Drosophila melanogaster: one gene and its partner. The protein of the gene in region 1 interacts with the protein of each later gene in a pairwise test. Each region holds a gene or a part of one and is shown on either strand. Other genes may lie near its edges.

The links. Proteins that work in one complex are often made in the same cells at the same time.
Region 2: the proteins of spri (region 1) and Strip interact in a two-hybrid assay, tested with the Drosophila melanogaster proteins (one study listed by BioGRID).

Annotation. Positions count from the first base shown.
Region 1 is NC_004354.4:10,583,289-10,587,245, reverse strand, and holds the start of spri (sprint), read left to right. Parts: upstream 1-1,823; 5' UTR 1,824-2,336; intron 2,337-3,957. UniProt on the Drosophila melanogaster protein: Potential Ras effector protein. May function as a guanine nucleotide exchange (GEF), by exchanging bound GDP for free GTP.
Region 2 is NT_037436.4:3,326,865-3,330,464, reverse strand, and holds the start of Strip (striatin interacting protein), read left to right. Parts: upstream 1-1,593; 5' UTR 1,594-1,595; coding exon 1,596-1,766; intron 1,767-1,838; exon of another isoform or gene 1,839-2,022; coding exon of another isoform or gene 2,023-2,214; intron 2,215-2,281; coding exon of another isoform or gene 2,282-2,605; intron 2,606-2,911; coding exon of another isoform or gene 2,912-3,112; exon of another isoform or gene 3,113-3,122; intron 3,123-3,600. Other genes in the region: CG14961 (uncharacterized protein), read right to left, coding at 1-323; Gtpx (glutathione peroxidase homolog with thioredoxin peroxidase activity), read right to left, coding at 2,023-2,214, 2,282-2,605, 2,912-3,112.

The sequences.
Region 1 (3,957 bases):
TTTACCATTTTTTTTTTTTTTTAATTTTTGAGATGGTCAAGATCGCAGGTGAAGGAATAATAACTATCAGAGGGTAATGTGACTTCGAGACCAGCCCTTTTCTTCGGTTTCTTGCTGAATTGTGCACGGCAAAAACAATTACAATTTCGCAAACAAAGATAATTTGCGAATGAGATCGACGACACGACACAATGGCACTTTACAACAACAAGAAGAACAACACGACAAATGGGGCGGGTATGGGGGTCTGTCAAGAAAACCTGAATTTCGAAATGGAAGGGCTAAAAAAAAGGTGAAAAATCAGAAATCAGAAGCTTCTTTCCAATTCCAGAAGTCAAAACGCTAATCGGTAATCGACAATTGCTTATCGGTCATCGACAGTTTTCGCGTTTTCAAATTGTTTGTGGCTGGCAATACAAGGTGAATTGTAAAAAAAAAAAATTAATAAGTGCGAGCAAAAAATGCGATCACATAGCAAACAAAGCTGCAAATCAAGCGAAACAAACACGTCGCCCTCTTAACAAGATATAACCGGGTTAAGCACAATAATATATCTTTTAATATAAATACTTATTCATATACGATAGTAAAACTGATAAAAGATAATTTTCAAGAGAATCTGTTAAGATTGTGAACCAAAGTCTGTGCATTCAATTTCCAGCTAAAACCAAACAACGAAAGACAAAAAGAACAGATTGCTAATTAAAATTTATGGGTGTCATAATTTTCCGACAATTAAAAGTCTCATTTTACAGCAAGAAATATTGATTTGGTCAGCAGTACCATGTGAAAAAATATTACTGATATATTGCAAAACAACCATTTTAGATTTCCATGTGCCATAGCTTTGGCTTTCAGCTATAACTTGTTTTAAACAATATAAGCTTATTTTGCATTACACGTTTAATTAAATTGGGACAGCATAAATTTTTGATAATTACAAGCACCTTTTCCAAAATCGAAAGTAAATCAGCACCTGCCGTTTAATAATTCACTTTGGTGAGCAATATTTATTTTTTGCCAACTCCGCGCTTTTTTAAAGAAAATTTTGTAACCGTAAAACACCAATATAACAATCCATTGCATTCATAGTAATTTCCATTTTAAAACATTGTTAATTTACGGAAAGAATAGTTTAGGAAACTTTTAATACAGTAAGTTGACTTAGTAGCAGAAGAATAAACTTTAATATTAAATATTTCTTTAACAAAGTTAAAAACTTTGCTATCTTCCTTACAACCTATGTTAACCACAGTGACAACAATGATCTATGAGTAAGCGTAAAGTTTGCTTAATACATTATATTATAGTTTTGATATTATACTTTCATAAATTAGTATGGTTGGGTAAATGGTTGTAATTAATATATTGAAAAATGTAAGATCTTATGACTGACATGTGACCACAATAGAGTTAAGTTTAAGTTCTTTTTTAATATAGTTTAACTATTAAGCTATTACTCCATGGTTTCATATATCTTGTGGAGTAAAGTGCTGTTAACATGTTCTGTAAACATATGATACAACTTTCCTTAACTCTTCGACCATTGTGCTGTTAAGTTAAAAATACCTCTTAATATACTTTTATTATTGATAAATAGTTTAGATTCATATACATATCTTGTGGCGCAAAGAACTTTTAACATTATCCATCAACTGAATGGAGAGTTTTCAGTAGGAGTGTGACCACTGTGCGCCATCGTTTCGCATCTCGTAATTTTGCTTGTGTTGTTGCTGTTGTTGTTGCTGCTGCTATTATCGCAGCGAGTTGTTGCTGCCGGCGACGATCTTCGTTTTGTCGGCGGCTTCAGTTCAGTTCAGTTTAGTTCGAGTTCGCACTCGGCCACAAACGGTCGGTCGGTCGGTCGGTTGTTCGTTCGTTCGTTCGCTGAAGGAGAATTGTGGAGAAGAAATTGAACCCGTAATCTTCGGAATCCGTAAAGCCGTAGTCCCGTAGTCGTAAGGCGATCGCGAGAATTGAAATTGTGCTGCAACTCAAGTAAAATAATATTGTGTCGCACAAGATCACTGCGTGTCGCGCTCAATTAAATACACATCTTTTTTTTTATATTTTTCCCCCGGTCTTTATTTATTTTTTTTTGTTTAATTTTTTTTATTTGCGCTACAACGTTGTTATTTATATTTAATTGTTTTGTAACAACAACAACAACAGCAGCCGAGTTAAGTGCGAAAAGTGAAGTGAAGTTTGTCGGCGAGTGAGTGCGAGTGCGCACAAAAATTGGAGCAGGTTCCAGAGATCTTGAGATCTTCAGAACTAGAGATTCCCAGTTCCTAGGCTCCCGGGTTGCGACTTTTGGCGGCATTGGCGTTCCCCTGGTAATTTAATTGAAAGTGATGATCGTAGCCCATCCATAAAGCCACTTACCGGTAGTTCCCCCATCCTTTCACAAGTTCAAGTTCACCGACCACGCGGACTCCTTTTTTCGCTCTTCCACCCGCTCTCTCTTCTCACTCTATCTCTCTTGATCGCTTGCCCTTCTTTCACTCGAAGAAAATACAGTGCACACTCGAGATGGTGAATTTGGATTGGCCATTAATTGCTCCCAGTTTGGGTTATCATACTAAATCTTTGTACAATATCTTTGGAAAAAGATTAAAACCTAACTTTAAATAAATAGTAATAATTACTGCTGTACAACTATTCTTTTTTTTTTCTGAGTGAAAAGCTCTTTTGTCTTTCTCGCCAAAAGTGCGTTGGATTTCTTTACATTGTGCCTGGTTCTCTTCGGTTTACACACTCGGTACATTGCACCCTTGGTCCCTGTTTCCTTTAGTGTCGTCTTTCGCTTTCAATGCATTTTGACAGTGGATTGCTAATCGGCCAGGTATTCGCAGGCCACCTTATAGCACCTACCATATATACCCATCGTACATCTACATACCATTCATACATACAATCGCATTCGCATTCGTATATTCGCATTCGCATTCCTGTCGCCGTTGTCATTTCCTCACCTCATCGGGCACCGCCCTCTTGCTTTCACGCACCTGATGATAAACGGCTCAAATTTTGATAATGTGTACGGATTGTGCTGCAAATTGCTCAAATGGCTAATCAGCTGTTGCTAGCACATATGTATAACCCCCTATACTCCATATCTTTCCAATGAAATCGGCGGGAAATTGGCTTTGTCTCGAGTCTTATCGCATGCCAAAAAAAAAAAACGAAAAATCAAAAGGCAAAAACCCAAAACTTAAGTCTGAGCTCCAAGTCTAAACCAAAACCGCAACATCATCTCAATATTTCCTTAACCACAAGTGCACAGAGCAAACAAGGTCTACTATTACTATTGACTAATTAGGCATTCTTAAGATATAAAAATATATAAATAGAGCAAAATGGTATAACAATTATAATCTATATTATCTAACATAATATCCAAAACCGTGGTGTGCGTGAAACGTGCCCTAATTTTCGCTCTGTGTGCGTGCATCAGCGGATTGCTGATAAGTGGAGAATGTTTATTGTCATTACCTGTGTCCCACTACCTGTACATTCCCCTACCCTGCGGTACTACCCCTCCGGTCGATATGGTATTCCTCATGCAATTTGCGGTTGTCACAGCTATTAGGTTTAGATAGTCCACTGTAGCGGTCTTATCAATGGGTTGCTTTCGCTGGTCAGTCAGTCAGCCAGGTATCTCTGTACGTACGTATGTTTGCCATGCCAGTATTATGATAGCGATCGTCAGTGGTTTACTTCGCTAATGATCCTCGTCGCTCAGCATGGGAACATCGCATCTGTATATGCCCACTAATCCCACTCGTATATTTTGGCTTTTTTGGCTTATCGCGATGGTCATTTAAATACACGTAGGAATCGTTGCGATCCCATCATATACATACAAACGTATGTGCCCAGATATTTTTGGGATACCATTTCCTTTCTTCGGGCTCTTTCCAGTTAATATCTTTTTAGTAGTTCTTAGAATTAATT
Region 2 (3,600 bases), on another chromosome or scaffold:
CCCTGAGCTGGCGGCTGCAATCCCAATCCCTGGCGAGGAGACAGCTGCTGGGGCTGCTGTTGCTGCTGGGTTTGAGACACCTGTTGCTGCTGTTGTTGCTGGGACTGGGATAGCACCTGCTGCTGTCGCTCCTGGATGCGTTGAAACTGCTGATCCTCATCCCTCTGAGGACCCGCCCTCAGCTCGGCCGGAGCCATACCATCGACGTACTTCACATCCGCCGGATTTGTGGCCGGTTGCTGTGCAATCGAGATGTTGACATGGGTGGCCGCATCCACCTGGCTGCAGGCCACCAGCAGGAGCACCAGCACTCCTCGGAACATCCTGTTCTAATCCTGTTACCAATCCGAAGTCAAAAATCCTAGCTGTGTGTCCAATCACTGCTGACCACCACCAAAGCTGACCGCTGTCTGATCGATAGTGGAGTGTGCTCCGCATATTTATACGGATTTTGGGTGGATTCGGAATCAAAATTGGGGGAGCGATCGCATTCGCAATCGCGATCGCGATCAGTGTCAAAGTCAACTGCAGCACTGGGAATAGCAATGCATACACACTATGGCGACAATAGCTTCGATAGCTTCGCTACTGACCTGGGCCAAACTGTTTAGGGATGAGTCTCAGATGCTTAACCTAGTTCTACAATTAAAGGCATTCGAGCGATCGCATTTGAGCGATGATGCATTCAACAAATTGCTGTCATCGCTTCACACTTGTGTGGCACGCACCAGCACTGAGAGAAAAGGGGCCTAAGTTCGTTCATATATCACAGATATATCATTTAATATGCGATTTTATTAAAATAATTTCTTGGGAAAATTTGGGAAAAGTTCTTTCGGGTAAAAGAAGCTAATCCAATAGAGATCTTTAATTTCGCTCCAGCTCATCAGTTTGGTTTTTCTCCGCCTGATCTCCACTGCGAATTTCGATGGCATCCGTAAATGGTGAGTGCAGCATTTTCATGTAATTGTCGGAAGGTCGGAGTCGCCGCTCCATTGGCAGCTGGTTTGAACTTGAAATCCGGCCGAGACGTTGAACTGCTCCACTGGAGGAGGAGCAGCTCGAGATCGGCGCCCCAATGGGCTGACGGATTCGCATTTGTTGGTTTTGGGGGTGCTGGTCAGGCAAACTTGCGCAATCGAAGTTTGGCGAGCATTTGGCGAACACTCGGAGCACTCGAATTCGGAAAGAAGGTAAAGGTTAATGTGAAGTACTTTTGCTTCTTTCTGCACTTAAAGTAACCACCAATAAGGTCAAATTGGTAAGGGGGAATATTTTAAAACAGATATTGCCTACTCACAGAAAAAGTAACTTTTCTTTCAAAAATATCTAAAGGATATTAAAGCAAACTTGTTTTGAATATCATTATAGAGAAAGGCAAATATGGGTTTTAAAATCTAAAACTCAGACTAATTGATCAAGGTCCTTTCAAAGATTAATTAGTTTTAAAACAATGCGAGCTTTCGTGGTCATTAAGTTGAACAAGTTTTCAAAAATTGTGCTCTACCGTTGAAAACATCATACCTTTCTTTTGTGAATTTCGTTTTTCCCTTAATATGACATCTCCAAATTTCACAGTCACCTAACAAATATATATGGCTTGGAAACAGAAAAATAAACTCCTTTTTGACACTTGTAAAAACCAGTTAAGCTGTGGCGCCGTAAACGCCAGATCCTCGATGATGCAGTCCATCCAGTCTAGGATCAACGTGCTTAACACCATTGCTGCTTCCAGCAAGCGGATTGAACGCGCCAGCGTTGACACGGTAAGTCCGAATTGATACAGTTCCAACTACCGATCAAAGTACGTGCCCGGCGTCGCCAAACACCCAGGTGATAGTGTGGTAACCACGAATGGCGTTTATTATGTTTGCGGGTGGGAATCAAAACCAGTAAGGAGTAGACAATATATATACCATGCGGTGCATGTGGCCGGCCACAAGACTATCTGTGGCCAGACGGTTACAAGCTAAAGCTACGCGAAAACACAGTCCAAAAGAGCAGCTAACGTCTAGGGCACATCTACAGCAGCTTTTCAATGTCCTTGGCGATGTCCATGGGATCGGTGGTCGGGGCATATCGGTTGATGGGCACGCCCTCCTTGTTCACCAGAAACTTGGTGAAGTTCCACTTGATTCCGCTGCCCAGGGTGCCGGTCTGCTTGGCCTTTAGGTATTTGTACAGCGGCGCCGCATTGTCTCCATTCACATCGACCTGCGGGGGTGGGGCAAGTTTAGTGACTCGGTCTACAGCAATCGGCTAGCAGCTTTAATAGTCTTACCTTGGCGAACACCTCGCCGATGTCAGCCTTGGAGTCGCGCAGGTGGCACACCATGGCCTCTCCATCGGCCTCCGGCATCTGGGACCCAAACTGATTGCACGGGAAGTTGAGGATCACCAGGCCGCGCTCGCCGTACTTCTCCTTTAGATCCGTCAGCTTCTCGTAGTTGTTCTTGGTCAGGCCGCACTTGGAGGCGATGTTCACCACCAGGACCACCTTGCCCTTGTACTTTTCCAGGGAAACATCGTTGCCATGGGTATCCTTCACGGTGAACTCGTAGATCGAGGCGGCGTTCTTGTAATCTCCGTTAGCAGACATGTCGATCTGGAAGCAATAGAAAGTGGGAGTTAGAATTGGGTAATTACTAGTGGCTGTGAAGGCTTGGGTCGATGTTTTGATCAAGAGATATAGATATTTATAGCCTTATCTTCAATCGGGGTATGAAACACTATATTCTGTATCAAAATCGACCCAGGCTACGCGGTTCATTGCAGTGAACAGGCAACAGAGAACAGAGAACAGAGAACACAGGCAGTGGCAAAGGCTACAACGTTTAGTTAGGCGCAGAATCAAGCAACTGAGTTAGTCAACGGGTTAGGATCTAGTCAACTAGCAATCAGCACTACTCACGGCAGCTGCTGTGGAGTGCTGGGCGGCTGAGGAGATGGCGTTCATGGGCGTGGCCGCACAGCTCACGGGAAGCATGATGGTGCAGAGGCGAAGGCACTGCCTCTGACCGCGACTCAGCTCGAGGACGGGGCCAGGGGTCCGCCTCATCGAGTAGCACCTGAGGGCCTGGCGGGAAATGTTCTGAAACTGCCTGAGACTCATTCTTTAAATGCTGCAAATAATAACCGGGCAGAATGTTCAAATTTAGTGAAAGCTTAGGCAAGTGAAGGAATTACTGGTGTGGATGTGTACGTTGTGTATCAGATCGAACAACAATCGTTTCAAAACAATTCAAATGGGAAAATATAAAAATCAAGTCCACATTTCTACTGATTAACGAAATAGTTAAGTAGATAAGAGCAAGTAGTAAGTAAAGTAGTAAGATAGCTCAAAGCTATCTTATTTCCGAATAAGAAAGTGTGGAAATGTATGTGGTGTATAGATTGTATTCGACAACCCGACGACAAACATCCAAGATTATTTCACGTTTTGATAATGGGTTTCCTAATAGTTGTATGTTGTTTCATAGACATTTACGAGGGTGCTATCAGGCTTCTGGTTACAGTGACGCTGCATAATTCATCGGGGTCAAAGTCAAGAGCTATATGTACATATATGTATATCCCAGCACCCTGTGAGTCACGCAACCT